Caenorhabditis elegans: one gene and its partners. The protein of the gene in region 1 purifies or fractionates together with the protein of each later gene. This does not show direct contact. Each region holds a gene or a part of one and is shown on either strand. Other genes may lie near its edges. The genes, in order: R12E2.11, Y54F10AR.1 and wago-4.

The links.
Region 2: the proteins of R12E2.11 (region 1) and Y54F10AR.1 fractionate together in Caenorhabditis elegans (co-fractionation; one large-scale study listed by BioGRID). This does not show direct contact.
Region 3: the proteins of R12E2.11 (region 1) and wago-4 fractionate together in Caenorhabditis elegans (co-fractionation; one large-scale study listed by BioGRID). This does not show direct contact.

The regions. Positions count from the first base shown.
Region 1 is NC_003279.8:4,171,200-4,176,500, forward strand, and holds R12E2.11 (Orotate phosphoribosyltransferase), read right to left. Parts: upstream 2,426-5,301; 5' UTR 2,425-2,425; coding exon 2,110-2,424; intron 2,059-2,109; coding exon 1,793-2,058; intron 1,752-1,792; coding exon 1,649-1,751; 3' UTR 1,239-1,648; downstream 1-1,238. Other genes in the region: Inactive protein-tyrosine phosphatase egg-5, read right to left, coding at 1-77, 126-388; mrps-6 (Small ribosomal subunit protein bS6m), read right to left, coding at 2,772-2,990, 3,159-3,237, 3,287-3,432, 3,496-3,540; rpn-8 (26S proteasome non-ATPase regulatory subunit 7), read left to right, coding at 4,124-4,243, 4,297-4,441, 4,486-4,571, 4,632-4,688, 5,156-5,284. UniProt on the Caenorhabditis elegans protein: Phosphoribosyltransferase which catalyzes the formation of UMP from uracil in vitro and thus may be involved in UMP biosynthesis via the salvage pathway.
Region 2 is NC_003281.10:2,573,373-2,578,958, forward strand, and holds the start of Y54F10AR.1 (Phosphatidylinositol transfer protein N-terminal domain-containing protein), read right to left. Parts: upstream 2,314-5,586; coding exon 2,297-2,313; intron 1,885-2,296; coding exon 1,690-1,884; intron 1,632-1,689; coding exon 1,314-1,631; intron 1,256-1,313; coding exon 1,135-1,255; intron 16-1,134; coding exon 1-15.
Region 3 is NC_003280.10:12,916,572-12,922,157, forward strand, and holds the start of wago-4 (Argonaute protein wago-4), read left to right. Parts: upstream 1-2,979; 5' UTR 2,980-3,005; coding exon 3,006-3,161; intron 3,162-3,213; coding exon 3,214-3,404; intron 3,405-3,449; coding exon 3,450-3,618; intron 3,619-3,662; coding exon 3,663-4,068; intron 4,069-4,114; coding exon 4,115-4,841; intron 4,842-4,886; coding exon 4,887-5,062; intron 5,063-5,108; coding exon 5,109-5,277; intron 5,278-5,326; coding exon 5,327-5,501; intron 5,502-5,544; coding exon 5,545-5,586. Other genes in the region: F58G1.2 (C2H2-type domain-containing protein), read right to left, coding at 814-1,250, 1,838-2,206, 2,373-2,409. UniProt on the Caenorhabditis elegans protein: Argonaute protein which is involved in the endogenous small interfering RNA (endo-siRNA) pathway and is required for RNA-mediated gene silencing (RNAi) in the germline.

The DNA of each region.
Region 1 (5,301 bases):
CATAAGTAGACGGAGCACCGCGTGGGACTTCAATCGCATCCTCTTCCGAGTTTCCGTTCAGACGCTCCTTGGATCTTCTGCAACATAAAATATTAATTTTCTAATACTTAAGAATCTCAAAGTACCTGTCCTTCTGAGCGAGCTTCTTCACTTTCTTCCGGAAACTCTTGCTAAGCGTGCTCTCGCTGTTGAATCTGGCTCTCATGCAGCTCACTCCCTTTTGTTGAGGATAATCCACCATCATATCCATGTTATCGGTGCTATCCGCGGAGGAGTCGTCGGTGTTTCCGGAGCAGAAGCTTTGAAGCGACGTCGCTCGCTTCCGGCCAGCTTGTGAGCGCATCGCATTGATTTGCTCGCGGAACATCACTTCGCTGTTCAACGCCATACCTGGAAAATAAATAAGCTTATTAAACGGCAGAAGAGACAGGAAAAACGATTTTGGGAGAGCACAAAATGGAAATTAGACGAATACGCGGATTTTTAATAGAAAATAACTGCGAAAAATACTGTTTAAACAACTGAACGGAAAAAGTCGAAGTTTTAGGAGAACAAAGAAAGAAAAAATTTCGGAAGTTTCCAGAAAACAAGTGCAATCATTTCGCTGAGCGGACAAAATACAAAATTTCGCGCTCTCCCAAGAATGTAGAACAAATTGTAGAACAAAGGTACGGTAGCAGATAATGTGTGTATTTGCGTACTTTTTTTTTGCATACCGTACTTTTCTTTACTTAATCGCACATTATAACGGAAAACGCATGTTTAATTAAAAATAGATTTTTTAAAAATTGTTTATAAATATTCAATATACGGAAAATCTGATTATGCACTTCGTGGGGATCGAACCAGTGTCCTGCTGTGCCTCCCTTATTCCCCACTGCACCATCAACCACTGCTGTTTCGCAGTCTCCGTCTCCTCGACAACACACACTCGTCGCTTCTCGCTTGCCTCGAAATGTGTCGGTACACACGTTTGGGTAAGAGGAGAGGACTCGTTGGTATCTTCGGTTTTAACCCAGTTACTCAAGGTACGCTGGAGTTCTGACCTTTCGAAAGAAAGTGTCAAACGACTTTAATTTTTGGAACCGCTCTGCTGGGGTCATCCGGTAGAGCAAAATAATTGAATCCGATTTTAAAAGTTTATTAAGTTTTATGTGCATTAATGACTGACTTGCAATTCTTAGCGAGAACTGTTGAGCTATGATAGATGGTGCGAGTTTTATCCTTTGTGAACACTATTTGGAAAAGGTTTTATTCACTTGAAATCGTTTCAGGGAAAGAACATGAGAAGATTTGATTATGCTTTAGCTAAATTCCAAAAAAAAAAATTATTAAGACATGCGGAAGAAGAATTAAACCAGGATATATCACAACTTGGGAAGGAATCAACAAGCCAAAAAATAATGAAAATTATTCAGCAAACATGGTAGAAAGTGATGAGAAGAAAATATAAACACACAAAACATCACATAAAACGCTAAACAAAAATTTAATGAAACCTTTTTTCCATTTTTTAAATTGGTCCATCAATTTTCTTGTTTTATGTGATGCGATGCATGTGTGCTAACAAGGAAGTTTATTGGAATATTATGAAAATGAGAAAACAAGTTCACAAATTGGTAGAATATGGGGTGCAACAATGAAATTTTTAGAAAGGTTTAGCAAGATGAGCAATAATCTCGTGCTTTCGTTCCTCGGTCATCTCGTTTTTCGTGATCAGGCCGTCGAGGATCTTCTCCATTGTCAAAAAGCTGAAAAAATTTGATTTTTAATTAAAACGAAAAAGCCTCACCTGAGGAAGTTAAGATTATCTTCTGCGAGATTGGCAGTTGCTCCCTGTTGTCTATCCAAAACAGCTATGGCATCAGTGACCAACAGATTCTCATTGCGAATTGCTTCTGCTGTCTCACGAATTGATTCACCTGATGTGACGACATCTTCGACAAGAAGTACTGTACCACCAGGCTGATAGACTCCTTCGATAAGTTGCTTTGTTCCGTAGGCTTTGGCTTCTTTTCTTTTCATAAGCATCGGCACATTGAGAATATCAGATACAAGCTAAAAACATTGAGTCTCATTTTTTAGTGTGAATTATTTCTGAAAACTGACGGTAGCAAGTGGAAGGGCAGCATATGGTACTCCAACAACATAATCGAATTTGAGGTTTGAGGCGACAATTTTCTCACACATAGCTTGAGCAGCCATTCGGAGCACACGAGGAGAGCTCATTATTCTGCGAAGATCTATGTAGATTGGAGTCATCTGGCCAGATTTGAGGTAGAACTCCCCAGTGCGAAAACATTCCATTTGATAGAGATTCTCGAAAAAATCAGTTTCCTGGATTGGTGAAGCGGCCTGGACTTTCATGACGACTGGATCCTCGATTGAGTGATTTCCGTTGGCGGTAGCGGTGGCGGCGGTCATTCTGAATTTTTAACAATTTTCGAATATCAATGTGAAACAGGTTATTTTCTTTCAATAGAAAAGTGAACAAATATCACTTGGTCAGATGAACCAGGTACGTGATTTGAAGGAAGAAAAATAAATAAATAAAAATGTGATATTCATGAAACAAAACAAATCAATTCAACTTTAAGAAAACAAAAATCACTCTATAAATCCTAAAACTGTACAGAAGAATCGAGAAAACAGACAACGCAAAGTACGAAAAGATAGCCTCGTTTGATAACACTATCATAAGGAGGTGTGGCCAAAAGTGCATTGTCGGCGATCTTCGACCCGTAAATTTAAGTCGATTACGAATTTCATGTCTAGGGCCTTGGCGGAGCAATTGGGTAACTCTTCGGGATACTCTTCCACTCCTTTTCAGTACGTTTGTAGATCATCTGTCGCGTGAAATGACCCATCTTTTGATTTTCTCTCAAATCCTTGACTGCTTGACGTTCGGCAGGAGATTTGAGGATTTCTTCCAGATTGCATTCAACCTTTGGAGCCGGCAGTGTGTCCACTTGAATTAGATCGACTTGAACCTGAAAAAATATGGTTCAGATTTTTGTAATGACCAAAAAGTGACAAATTAATTTAGAAAAAGAACAAAACAACATTCGAAATGAATCTAAACAAAGAAAACTTTTAAACAATAAGACCCGATCATACATCAACATCAGATAATATATAATGAAATTTAACTAACTCACCGTGTCCAGGTCATGTGTCAAAATAGACTTTGTTTTCTGTCTAGCTTCCCGAGACATGTGCGCCTTGAAGAGGAAGAAACTGCAAAGAACAAACAATTTTTTTAAGATATATAGTTTTTAAATATTACTTTGAAGCGTAGACGGGCTCATTTGTCTGTTTGGCCAGCCGTTTATACGGTAAATCTCGATGACCCAGTGACTCAACCTTTTCAATTACTGCTCCGTGATCCAGCAAAGTGTTTCCAGCACGCGTTAAAGCTTTAACAAGATCTGCCTGAAATAAAGAATATTCTCATGATTATACACATTCTCACGCTTCATCGTGTTTTTTCTGTACCTTTGACAGAGATCGTGTGATCATGCTCACTTCATAAAACGGCATTGTTGTTCTCGCCCAGTATGAATGCTTTTTCTTCACTGAAAATATTTTCTATGCTACGAATTTGGAAATATGTCAATGAAAATCACGATAAGAAATCACAGCACAAGCTATTTTTCCAAAATAGGAAGTTGCCATTTTTCAACGACAGGCTGTGAACACAAGATTATTAAACAAAAATTTACTAGAACAATAAAATAAATGTTCAATTTTCAATTTTTCGCATTAGAAAGTTAATTTTCCGTCATTGCAATCGAAAAAAGTTAATTTTAAAGTAAAGAACCAGGAAAAATAAAGTGGAAATACGGGATGGGTCTCACCACGGCCAGTGTCGATTTACGGGGAAATTGCATGCGCCTTTAAACGATGATATTTCTTTTTTGAACGGGAAGCGGGAAATTGTCGTTTTTAAGCATTATTTATTTATTTCTTTTCATTTTTTCATTCAAATTATATTCTAGATACGTTTATGGCAGGTTTTTCCGCAATGATTAAGCGTTTCTCACTGTTATGTCGATTATTAACGTGTTAAACTGTTATGTGTTGATTTTTTATTGTGATAAATTTATTTTCGTTTTTTAGAAGAATGGCTCCAACTAACAAAGACGGAGATGTGGCGACTGTCAAAGCTGTAGATGTTCTCAAACAAAAGGCTGGAGCCCATCATTGCCTTGGAAATGTTCATGCAAACCTTCCCGTTAATAAGGTTAGCATACCTGAGCGAGAAAATTCGATTTTAAATAAACACAATTATTTAAGGTGACCGTCCATCCATTGGTTCTTCTGAGTGTTGTTGATCATTTCAATCGTGTCAGCAAAACTCAAAGCGTGAAGCGTGTTGTTGGAGTCCTTTTGGGGTCCATGAAAAAGGACAAAACTCTGGATATTGGAAACAGTTTTGCTGGTATTTTTAAAAATTTATTTGCTTACTTATAAAGTAATTTTCAGTTCCGTTTGATGAAGATGACAAGGATAAAAGTACATGGTTCCTCGACATGGACTATTTGGAGAGCATGTATGGAATGTTCTACAAGGTTGGTGAATTTTGAAATCTCGTTTTTATTTAATTTTAAACAAAAAAAATGAATTTACAGGTTGCCGCCAAGGAAAAAATCGTCGGATGGTATCATACGGGTCCAAAACTTCACAAGGTATATAAGAGGCAAAAAAGAGACGGGGACAACGCGCGTAGTGGTCTAGTGGCTAGCAGGCACACACTCTGCGCCTCCAGCCATTGGTTCGATTTCTCATTCCACTCGGGTTTGTGATGACTGCATACGGATCACTGGGCTCTGAATCTCTATGAACCGATAATATCCGTTCTGATACCCGTTTTTACGGTTTCATGATCGATGGAGCGCGAACTTGTTTAAATTTGAAATTATACTGTGCAAATAACAACAAAGCAAAAAAAAAAAAACTTAAAACAAATCAAATCAAAACTTTTGAAAAAAATCGAAAAAAATGCAGTGGATACCTGACAAAAAAAAAAGAAAAAACCGTGTCACAGTGTTGCGAAATTACGCTCCGCCTTACTTTCTGTGCCACCCTGATTTTTGCAAAATTACGGTGTTCAACTTCAACAGTTTAATTAATTATTTATTTATTAATTTTACAGAACGATATTGCTATCAACGAGCAATTGAAACGATTCTGCCCGAACCCGGTTCTTGTAATTATCGATGCTGAGCCAAAGAACATCGGATTGCCAACAGAGGCTTACATCGAAGTTCAGGAAGTTCACGATGTACGTTTCAAAATACT
Region 2 (5,586 bases), on another chromosome or scaffold:
CAGGCGAGGGTATTGCTGAAAAATTTGGGATTTTTTTGGAGAAAAAATGGAAAAAAGCTGAATTTTCTAGAAAAAAAAACCTATTTTTCTGGGAAAGTAATGGAAAAATCCGAGATTTTTTGGCGAAAAAACCGTTTTTTTAAAGGAAAATAATGGAAAAATTATTTTTTTTTTTGGAAAAATCTGAAATAAATCTGATTTTTGAACATTTTCACGTGAATCTCAACAAAAATGTCCATTTTTCAGGTAGATTACTGGGTTAACAAAAAAAAACATTTTCGAAAATTTTACTTTATAGGATTTTATACAAAATTGCGCAGTTTTCCAGCTTTTTTTAAAATTAAAATTCAATTTTTTCGCACTTTTTGAAATTTTTATTAAATTAAGCAATGTTTTGGTTTATTTTTTTTATTTTTCATTTATAAAAATTTTCAGCGAAAAAGATGGAAAAAAATTTTTACGAAAATTGTGCATTTTTCAGCTCGATTTCTACATTTTTCGTATGCAATTTTTCGAAAACTTCTTTTTTTTTGCGGTTTTTTAAAGAAAATTTCTCCAATTTCAAGCTAATTTTTGAGATTTTTTAAATAAATTTATTAATTTATCGGGTAAAAATCCACTTTTTTGAAAATTTCCACGAGCATTTATGCGAAATTTTTCCATTTTTTCAGCTCGGTTTTCAGTTTTTTTCCGGAATTGTTCGAAATTTTGCTCGAAAATTGAAGAATGGCTGTGTAAAACCTCTTCCACTTAAATTAGAGGTTTTCTAGGTTTTCCTTTTGACTTTTTGGCAATTTTCGCGGTTTTTTCACATTCAAATTGGCAGTTTGTTAGGTTTTTAGGTGAAAACTTTATTTATCAGATTTTATTTATTTAATTTTATTTACATTTATCAGATTTTAAGTGAAAATTGTTGATTTTCACCTAAGAACCCTATAAATTGTCAATTTGAGTATGAAAAAACCACGAAAATCGAAAATTTCAGTTTTAAACTTTGAAATTCTTCTCCTCGGGGAGTACACGATCTGCGTAAATCGACATAGGGTTATTCTACAAATTTCAAACAAAAAAAAGCTCGTTTTTTGAGCATTTTCGCCCATTTTGTCGATCCACGAAATCCTCTCGTAATCTCACCGTATGCGCGTAGTTTTCGACAATTTTCTGGAATCCAAACCACTTGAAATAGACTGTAACAAGCTTGTAGGCACACATTACAGGCTGTACACTATCCTTCCAATTTCCAGATAAAGGACCGCTGAAATTTCAGATTTTTTTAATTTAAAAACTGAAAAATCTCAAGGTTTTTCCCGTACCGCCCGGTTTTTGTGCTCTGAAATTTGGATGGAGTGGAGTCTGGATGCAAATCTCCGGAATTCAAATACTCGTGATCATTTGCAATATTAATATTGACAACTTCTCGTTTCGCCAGCTCATCGCCCTTCAAACCGTGCGCATTTTCGGTCGTTCCGTTGTCCGGCAAGTGGATTGTCTCAATTTTCACATAGAAATTCTCTTTCATATAGTCTGGATTCGTGACAACCGTCTTACAGTACGGATAGGCATTCCATGCTTCTTCGTGGATAGCCAGAGAACCTTTTGGCGCGATTTTTCGCAAAATTGCCGGGACTTTCCTGAAAAAATTGATTTTTTTTCCAATTTTTTTCGCAGAATTAAAGAAGAAAATCCTACGATTGAAGATGATAAATCTTATGAGTATATTGTCCTTTCGTGAATTGTCCATTGAGCAGTGGAACATTGTCAAATGGCTCATTTTTGAGCACTTCCACACCTTCACCGCCACCCGTTTCGGCTTTTGAGGCCTCGGCCACAGACCAGAGCTGGCCTACTTGGTACTCTTCGACGGACATTGGAAGCACAACTCGGCTGAAAAAAAATTTTTTTTTTTGAAAATCTGGAAAAAATCCAATTTTTTTGGGAAAATCTGGAAAAATACGATTTTTTTTTTGAAAAAATCTGGAAAAAATCCGATTGTTTTGGGAAAAGAATGGAAAAAATCTGGAACAAATCCGATTTTAATGGAAAAATCTGGAACAAATCCGATTTTAATGGAAAAATCTGGAACAAATCCGATTTTAATGGAAAAATCTGGAAAAATACGATTTTTTTGAAAAAATCTGGAAAAAATCCGATTCTTCCGGGAAAAATCTTGAAAAAATCCGATTTTTTTGGGAAAAGAATGGAGAAATCCGATTTTTTTTTGTTGGAAAATCTGGAAAAAAACCGATTTTTTCCAGGAAAAATCAAAATTTTCGTTAAAAATAAAAAAATCACTTACTACTCCTTGATAATCATTCTTGCGAGTGTCGAATGAGGAGGAAACCACCTGAAAACTAAATTTTTTATGCTAGTTGCCATGGAAACAGCTTTACGGAAGATTAATGGGTGGAGAGCATGCGAAAATCGATTTTATTTTTGCATTTTGGAAGGTATTCGAGAAAAAGAAGAAAATTATTGCGAAATTTCGTAATTTGAAGGAAATTCACAAAGATTTTAACGATTTTTAGCGGGAAATTGAAAATTTTTGGATTTAAAAATAAAAAATTGATCGAAAAGTTAAAGGCGCACGGAGTTCCAATTGCCGATGGGTCTCGCAGCGAACTACAAAAGTTTGATAAATTTTTGAATTTTTTAAAGTTTTTTAGTAAAATTAAGTTGATTTTACCAATATTTAATATATTTTCTAACGTTTTTAAATAGAAAATGACAATATTAAATCGGAATTGGAAATTTTAACGGCGTCTCTCATGAAAAATACAAAATTCTCCCAAACAATGCGAAATCGTAGAATTATTAGTCATCATGAATAGAGAGAGAGAGAGAGGTGTTGCGAAATTTTTCTCATTTTGAAATTTCTTGAGGGAAAAATGGAAAAATCACTCAATTTTCCGTGGGAAAAGCGAAAAAAACGAATTTGAGAAGGGCAGTAATCGAAGGCGCATATAGTTTGAAGAGACTCGGGTCTCGCAGCGATCTACAGAAATTGTAATTAATTTTCAAGTTTTTAAACTTTTAAACAAATTTAAGCTATTTCTAGGTGGTTTTAAATGAAATTCTAACGATTTAATATTGAAAACTTGATTTCGAAGTGAAAATTAAGATTATTTTTAATTTCCGATTGGAATTCCGAGAGAAAAGCGAGCATAATACACGAAAAATCTTGAAATGGTTTTTAAAGGTGCATGGTCTTTGAATTGGCTCGGGTCTCGCGACGATCTACAAAAGTGTGATGAATATTTAATTTTATTGAATTTAAAATGAGTTTTCAGAAGGTTTTAACGATTTTCCGACCAATTTTCAGTGCAAAAACTGCAAAAAATGACGTGTTAAGGTCCATACACCCGCAAAAAACATAAAAACAAAGCGGAAAAAAGAAAAAAAAAAGACAGACGAAATAGATGAAGCAATAAGCGCAGCAACGAGGAGAAAATCGAATGCTTTCTGTGTTTCTGTCTCACTTGCCGACTCACTAGGCACGCGAAATGCGCAAGCATTCCTCTCGGTGACTTCGTATACTCTCTTCTCGATTAACAGCAGGGTTCGAGCCTTTCTTGGAAGAAAAAGAGGAAGAAATATTCGTTTTTTTTTCCTTTCTTTTAACGTTTTTGGAAGAAGGAAGACGGAAAAAAGATGGAAAATAGTATTAAAAATGGCCTTCCCCAAAAAAAAGAGGGCGGCGCGGCGAAAAATCGATAACACCCGGGACGGGGGGAAAACGGAGGAGAAAAAAGAGCTGGAGCAGAAACTAAATATGTCATGTTTGTGGAGTAGCGTGTGCGCTGTCAAGTTGAGAGAGAGAGGCTATATAAAGTAAAAAGTAACGACTATGGAGAGGAGCGAAATGGGTTGGAAAAACAAGTGACGGATGACATTTTCAATGGAAAATCTGAAAAAGTGTGAAGCTGGCGCGAGAATCACCATGGAAATGAGCGACAAGTTTGGGGCAGATACACATAAATCAAATTTCGACTTGCGGAAACAATATGAAATCGATTTTTTTGACTTTCCCCTATTAAATAATTAAAATTCAAAAAAAAATCGAAAAAAGCTGGGTTCAAGTGGTGCCAGGCTGTCCCATTACGGTTTGATCTACAAAAAATGCGGGAATTTTTTGCCAAAAAAAATGTGACGTCATCACGTTGTTAACCATGCGAAATCAGTTGAGAACTCTGCGTCTCTTCTCCCGCATTTTTTGTAGATCTATGTAGATCATGCCGAAAGAAGGCACTTTGACACCACGTGAATCGGTAAAGAAATGGAAAAAAAAAATCAAAATGCAGGAATTGAGACGCAGAGTTCTCAACTGATTTCGTATGGTTAGGAACGTGCTGACGTCACATATTTTTGGGCAAAAAAATCCCGCATTTTTTGTAGATCAAACCGTGATGGGACATGCTGATACTACGTGGTTATGCGCCTTTACACAGAGTACGGTACCTTTGGCCATTAAAAAGCGCCAAGAAAATTAGACTATCTGCTGAAAATCGATTTATTAACTTCCAAAAACAATAAAATCTAGAAATTGGAAGATTTTCTCTGTAACTGTAAAAATCTCGATTTTCGTCTGAAAAGTTAAAAATTGGCGATAAATTGGCTATTTAGGCTTAGGCTTAGGTTTAGTCATAGGCCTAGGCTTAAGCATAGGCTTAGGCATAGGCCTAGGCATAGACTTAGGCTCAGGCTTGGGCTATTGCTTCGGCCTAGGCCTAGGCTTAGGATTAGGCTTAGGCTAAGACTTAGGCAGATGCTGAGGCATAGGCTTAGACCTAGGCTTAGGCTTAGACTTGGGATTAGGCGTATGCTTAGGCTCAGGCTTAGGCATATGCTTAGGCTTAGCCATAGGCCTTGTGGCTTTCTGCAGGAAACTTTGCCCGATGCACCATGTTGAAAATGCCATTTTTTGTTGGATTCCCGGTGAATTCTACCCTTTTTGCGAAAAAAAAAAAAATTTCATTCAAAAATGTTCATATTGGAGGCCCGATTTCTGTAGTTTCCGCATTTTTTGGTGTCATTTTGTCTGAAACACAGACTTTGTAAATATTGGTAACCTCAAATGTACTTAAATCAATAAGACAGTGACTTTAAAAAAGTTAGTTTCCTATAGCTGCTACATTGACAAGTCTGTCAAATTTCAAATTTTAACTAATTTTAGGTAATTTTTTGAGTCGTCAAATTTTTTTGAAAAGTTTTCAACAAGTTTCATTATGAAATTCGGTGTTTTCAGACAACTTCGAGTCTAATTTTTCTTAAACCATGTTTCAAAGATCACATGTTTTATTTGTTTCTTTTGCATTTTCTTTCGCCTGCGTTTACCATTGCAACATTATCTTTGAGACAACAACACATGCATTATTTTTCATTTTTCGTCTAGCGTCTCTTCACATTGGTGCCACTCTTTCCAACCGTCTAACTGTCTACGATCTCCTGTTCTCTTGCTCTATACATGCTTTCACTAAAGCATCGGAATTGAGAGAAAAACGAAATGTATTCGATTGAAAAAAATTTTTTTTGAATATTTTTATTTCTACAGTTTTAGTGGTAATGTTGGCCCTTTTTGTCCGATGACTT
Region 3 (5,586 bases), on another chromosome or scaffold:
AATGTTTTCGGTGTATTTTTGCTTGAATTTTAGAGAAAAAGTCAAAATACATGCAACTTTTCGATTAAAAAAGCACGCTTACAGGCGTAGATCATTGAAATTAATTAATTCAGGTTCGAAATCGTTCAAAATCGTTACTTTGTCATTTTTACGCCTGTAAGCGTGCTTTTCAATCGAAAATTAGCTTTTATTTTGACTTTTTCTCTAAAATTCAAGCAAAATTACACCGAGAACATTAAAAATCGGTGGAAAATAACAAAAAATAAAATAAATTAATTAAAAAACGTGCAAGCGCGCTCCATCGAACAAATCCAATTGGCGGTAATTTAAATAGGAATTAGGCAAAAACTGAGATTTTTTCGATTTTCAAAAAATCATATAAAATTTAGAATAATTTTTTATCATGATATTCGGTCATTGTGGTACCATAGGCATGTTTTACAGCAATTTCCCCACTGACGCTACTCCACCTTTAAAGAATTAGAATTTCAAACAGATTTTTCTCTACAAAATGGCATATTTTTCGAACCTGAAATCGAAAAACTGACGATTCTAATACATTTTTTAAAAAACTGTAGTGACTCCTTTCTGTAAAATCTTCAGTTTTGGGCCAAATTTCATAATTTTACACATTTTCAACTCGTATGATTCCTCTCAACAAAATTATGAATCAAAAAAATTCGGAAAGAGTTTCTATATAGGCCAACAATAGCCAAAAACTGCTGTCCCAGCTAATCGAGCTCCCACGAATTCAGGAGTTTGTGAGGTGTCGTTCCAGTAATTATGAACACTCCAGGACATCGTGTTTATTACCTTCTTAAGATATGGAAATTTCTTTCTAAGCGCATCCATTGGGTACATGAGACCTCCGTAACGATTCAGTCGTGGGATGTGTCCTTGACTGTTCTCACCCGGCAACGGGATCGAGTCCACTTCCAGATTGTTCGATGTCGCCTCAATTTCCGACTCTGGAGGAATGAATCCGCCACTCACAAGCTCTTCGATTCGGTTACGCTCTCTCTCCAGTTCACCCATATAATCAGCCATTTCACGTTGATTTTCCAAAAATGCAATGTAGGCTTTCGGGTGGGAATCTCTGAGATGTCGCTCGAGAAGGCTCATCTCACCGAAACGATTTTTGCAGACTTTGCATCGGAACATGCTTTTACGGACGGCATTTCGAATTTCATCGATGCTCAGTGAGGACGCAGGAACCATGTTGAGATCCGGAGCACAAAAGTCTTGCTGCTCTGAAAATTATAAATTTTCTTTTTTTCCAAATATTGGTTCAAAATTGGACTCAAAATTGCCTAAAAATACCGAATTTCATGATGAAACTTCTTGAAAACTTCTCAAAAAAAAGTTATGACGGCTCAAAAACTGGCCTAAAATTAGTTAAAATTTGAAATTTGACTTGTCAGCGCTGCCAGCTGGAAACTAATATTTTTGAAATCACCGTCAAATTTTGAGTATTTTATGTAATTATCTTTCGTTTTTAACTCTGATTTAGGTATTTTAAAGTCGATGAACGGCGAGATTTTTAAATTTTTTTAAACCAAATCTCGCGGTCCATCGACTTTAAAATACCGAAATCGTGTTGAAAACGCAAGATAATTACATTTTATACCCAAAATTTGACGGTGATTTCAAAAACAAAAATTGTTTCCAGCTGACAGCGCTGACAAGTAAAATTTTAAGTTTTAACTACTTTTAGGCCATTTTTTGAGCCGTCATAACTTGTTTTTGGGAAGTTTTCAAGTTTCATTATATAAATCGGTGTTTTCAGACAATTTCGAGTCTACTCCACCTTTAAATGACAAATTTCTGAAATCCTTACTTTGTCGAACTATACACTTGTCAAGTTCGGCAGATGGATCGATGAAATTCAGTGCAGCTCGGTTTTCGCGAAGCTTTTTGATTGGTCTTCCATCCCCGCCGAGAATGATTCGTTCTTTATGAATTTTCGGCGGATTTCTGAGGCTCGCAAGAAGCTCGCCGACTCCGGTGAGCTTTTTTCGTGGGCAACACACGTCATTTCTTCCAGAATCGTTGGCTTCAGCTACTGTTTCCTTTTTCATGCATTCTTGAAGGAAGTGCTCTTGAATACGACGAATCTGTTGAGCATCCTGAGCGTTGAATGATGCAATAATCTGCTGTTCCTTTTCGTCTTGGCAATCCCTATGTTCCGCATGATCATCTTCCGAGACTGCATCTATCAAGAAATCATTAGAAGAGAATAATACAAGAGAAATAAATATCAAATAGTGATAATAACTAGGTTTCTTGGAACCAAATATAGAAATCAAGTTAACAAAATTTCGTTATTTTTGTTTTTTTATTAGGTTAACAATAGAAAAAAATATAATGATTACGTGAATCTTCACGATCGACAATCTCCGGCGCCTTCATTGTTTCTCGTTGCTTGTCCTGATTGTTCCTGTAATTAATTGCATTATTGAAGGAAATTTTAAGATTTCAAATAACGAAATTGAACACGGGTCTGGAAAAATAGAGGCGAAACGAAGAAATATGAACATTTCGAAATAATGCAACAATCTCATGTGACTCCTGATGAAGAGGGTATTTGAAGTGCAAAATAGAGCGCAAGTGCACTTTTTTAATTTTTCTCTTAAAAATAGCTATTTTTGTTTAATTCTAGAGTTTTAATTATAAAAAGAAAAGCAAAATTCAATAAAGGTTCTCTTCGAAAAAATAAATTGTTCGGGTGGATTTACGGTAAACAAGGCGCATTGCGTTAAGGCGGAGTGTCGTTGTGCTCGGGTCTCGCAGCGAAAGTCACCTACAGTAACCCAGAATTTTAGGATGACCGCGATTTTCAATTTCGTTTTTTCTTTTCGCGTTTTTTCGCGGAAATGTTTGTTTTTGATGCTCGTTTTGTGTTTTTGTGTTGTATTTTTGTTGCTTTTTTCGCATTTTTCTATACGTTAAGTCTTATTTCGTCTTGAATTTTAAATTTACAGGTAATAGTTACAAAATCGAGAAGGATGCCAGCTCTTCCTCCAGTCTACACGCCTTCTGGAGCTCCATCGAGCGTCCACGCACCACCTGCCGTTCCACCAGTTCCAGTTCCGACTCAACCGTTAAGATCGGAGTATCAAACGTCTAACGACGCTTGCATCAAGAGACTGGAAGAGCTTAATGTACGTTTAGTTTAATTGATTTTTTTTTCAAACCTAATTTGTTAAATTTCAGATTGCTCCTGCTGCAAAGCTCTATCCAACACCTACTGAACCAGGAAAGTGTGGCGTCGAGGCCGAAATACAGACCAACGTATTCGGAATCGAGATGCACCAGGATTCGTTGTTCTATCAGTACAGCGTGAACATCACGACGGAGCTGAAAAACGGGAAAGAAGTTACCTTCACTAAGAAGGGGAAGGATGAGTGAGTTTACCACATGATTTATATTTTTCTCATAATATGTTCCAGCTTCGTCGTTACTGAGAGACACGACAAGTGCTGTGCGATTCTGTTCCGCGCGCTGGGTGACTATGAGGAGTTCTTCAAAACGTCTGATAGCTGCCTCATCTACGATGGTCAAAGCATTCTGTTCTCAAACGTGGATCTTTTCCAAGGGTTCAGAGAAGGCGCAGTAAAGGTAAATAAATTAAATCTCGGCCAATGTTATTCCGAATATTTCAGACCAAGTACATGCAGCTTGATGGCGGAGAAATGGATCATAAGGATCTCAAATCGTTGCCGTGTATTAAGCTGGAGGTGTTCCCGACTAAAAACCCAGCGGTCAAGTTCACACGAGAAGCCGTAGCAAGACGAGCAACGGACTCAAACCTCGATTCTGTCAGCTTGGCTTACCAACAGATCCTGGAACTCGCTCTCACTCAACCATGTCTTCGCAACACTGCGAGATACGTTGTTTTCGATCATGGAAAAATGTTTTTCATTGATCCACTCGGTGAAGGATTCGAGAAATGCGACGTTGTGGACGTTGGGGATGGGAAGCAAGTTGTACCAGGACTCAAGAAGACGATCAACTTCATCGAAGGACCCTACGGCAGAGGACGGAGTAATCCATCAGTTGTCATTGACGGTTGGTATTCAAAATAGTAATATCATAGTTATTTCTTGTTTTTCAGGGATGAAGGTCGCTTTCCATAAGAATCAGCCAATTCTCGACAAACTGAAGGAGATAACTACGCAGCCTGTGGAACACGGCCTGAAGGGACTCGAAAAGGACCGCTGCGCAGCCGTCATCAAAGGGCTCGACTGCTATTCTACATATGGCGGTCGTGAACGTCATCACAAGATCGAGGGAATCCATCACGAAGGGGCTCGAAATGCTCGTTTCGAGCTCAACGACGGTGGAAGCTGCACTGTAGCTCAATATTTCGAAGACGTATACAACATCACTCTTCGCTATCCAGACACAAATCTCATCGTTTCCAAGGAGAGAGGAAATATAAACTTCTACCCGATGGAATTGTTGAAGATCAGCTCTCATCAACGCGTTCAGATCCCGCAGCTAACCAGTGCCCAGAGTCAGAAGACAACGAAGGAAAGTGCTGTTTTACCTGACGTTCGCCAGCGTCTGATCTTGACGGGAAAAAATGCGGCGCAAATCTCATCGGACAACGAGGTTCTCGGTAAAATGGGCGTCTCGGTGTGCGAAGATCCGCTCATGGTCAAAGGACGCTCAATTCCTGCGGTGAAGTTGGCAAACGCTGAAATTGGAGCCAATCCAATCAATGTCAAGGACAACAAGTGGCGTGCCAACCGCTTCACTCGACCAGCCACGGCGCCGAATGTGTGGGCGATGTATGTTGTCGGTACCGCATCAACTCGCATAACTTTGGATACTCTGAAGTAAGACTGGCAATATAGTTTCATATCTCATTTTTTTCGTTTCAGGAAATTCGCAGATGAGTTCGCGGCTATGTGCAAGTCAAAAGGTGTCAACATGCCTGCTCCTGCTGACATTTCGCTCATCCATATGGATGCCATCGAGAGTCGTCTGTACGACGCAACGAAAGCCAATTGCACATTCGTTTTCATCATAACGGATGATTCAATCACTACACTCCATCGTATGTTACATTGTTTATTATATTTGTCCATATTTCCGTCTTTCAGAGCGTTACAAAATGATTGAGAAGGATACGAAGATGATCGTTCAAGACATGAAGCTATCCAAGGCGTTGAGTGTTATCAATGCAGGAAAGAGGCTAACTCTCGAGAACGTGATCAACAAGACCAATGTGAAGTTGGGAGGTTCCAACTATGTTTTCGTGGACGCCAAGAAGTACCAGATTTTTTTTTGCGAAATTTATATTCATTTATTATTCCTTCAGGCAGCTCGACTCTCATCTGATCATCGGAGTTGGGATTTCCGCCCCACCTGCTGGAACCAAGTATGCCATGGAGAACAAAGGAGTTCTAAACCCCAATGTCATCGGCTATGCGTACAATGCACAGCACAATCAGGAGTTCAGTGGAGACTTCGTGTTAAACTCTGCCAGCCAAGATGTGAGTTTCCATTTAAGAATATTCTCATCCGATTTGATTTCAGACTCTTGCGCCGATTGAGGATATTGTGATGCACTCGCTCAAC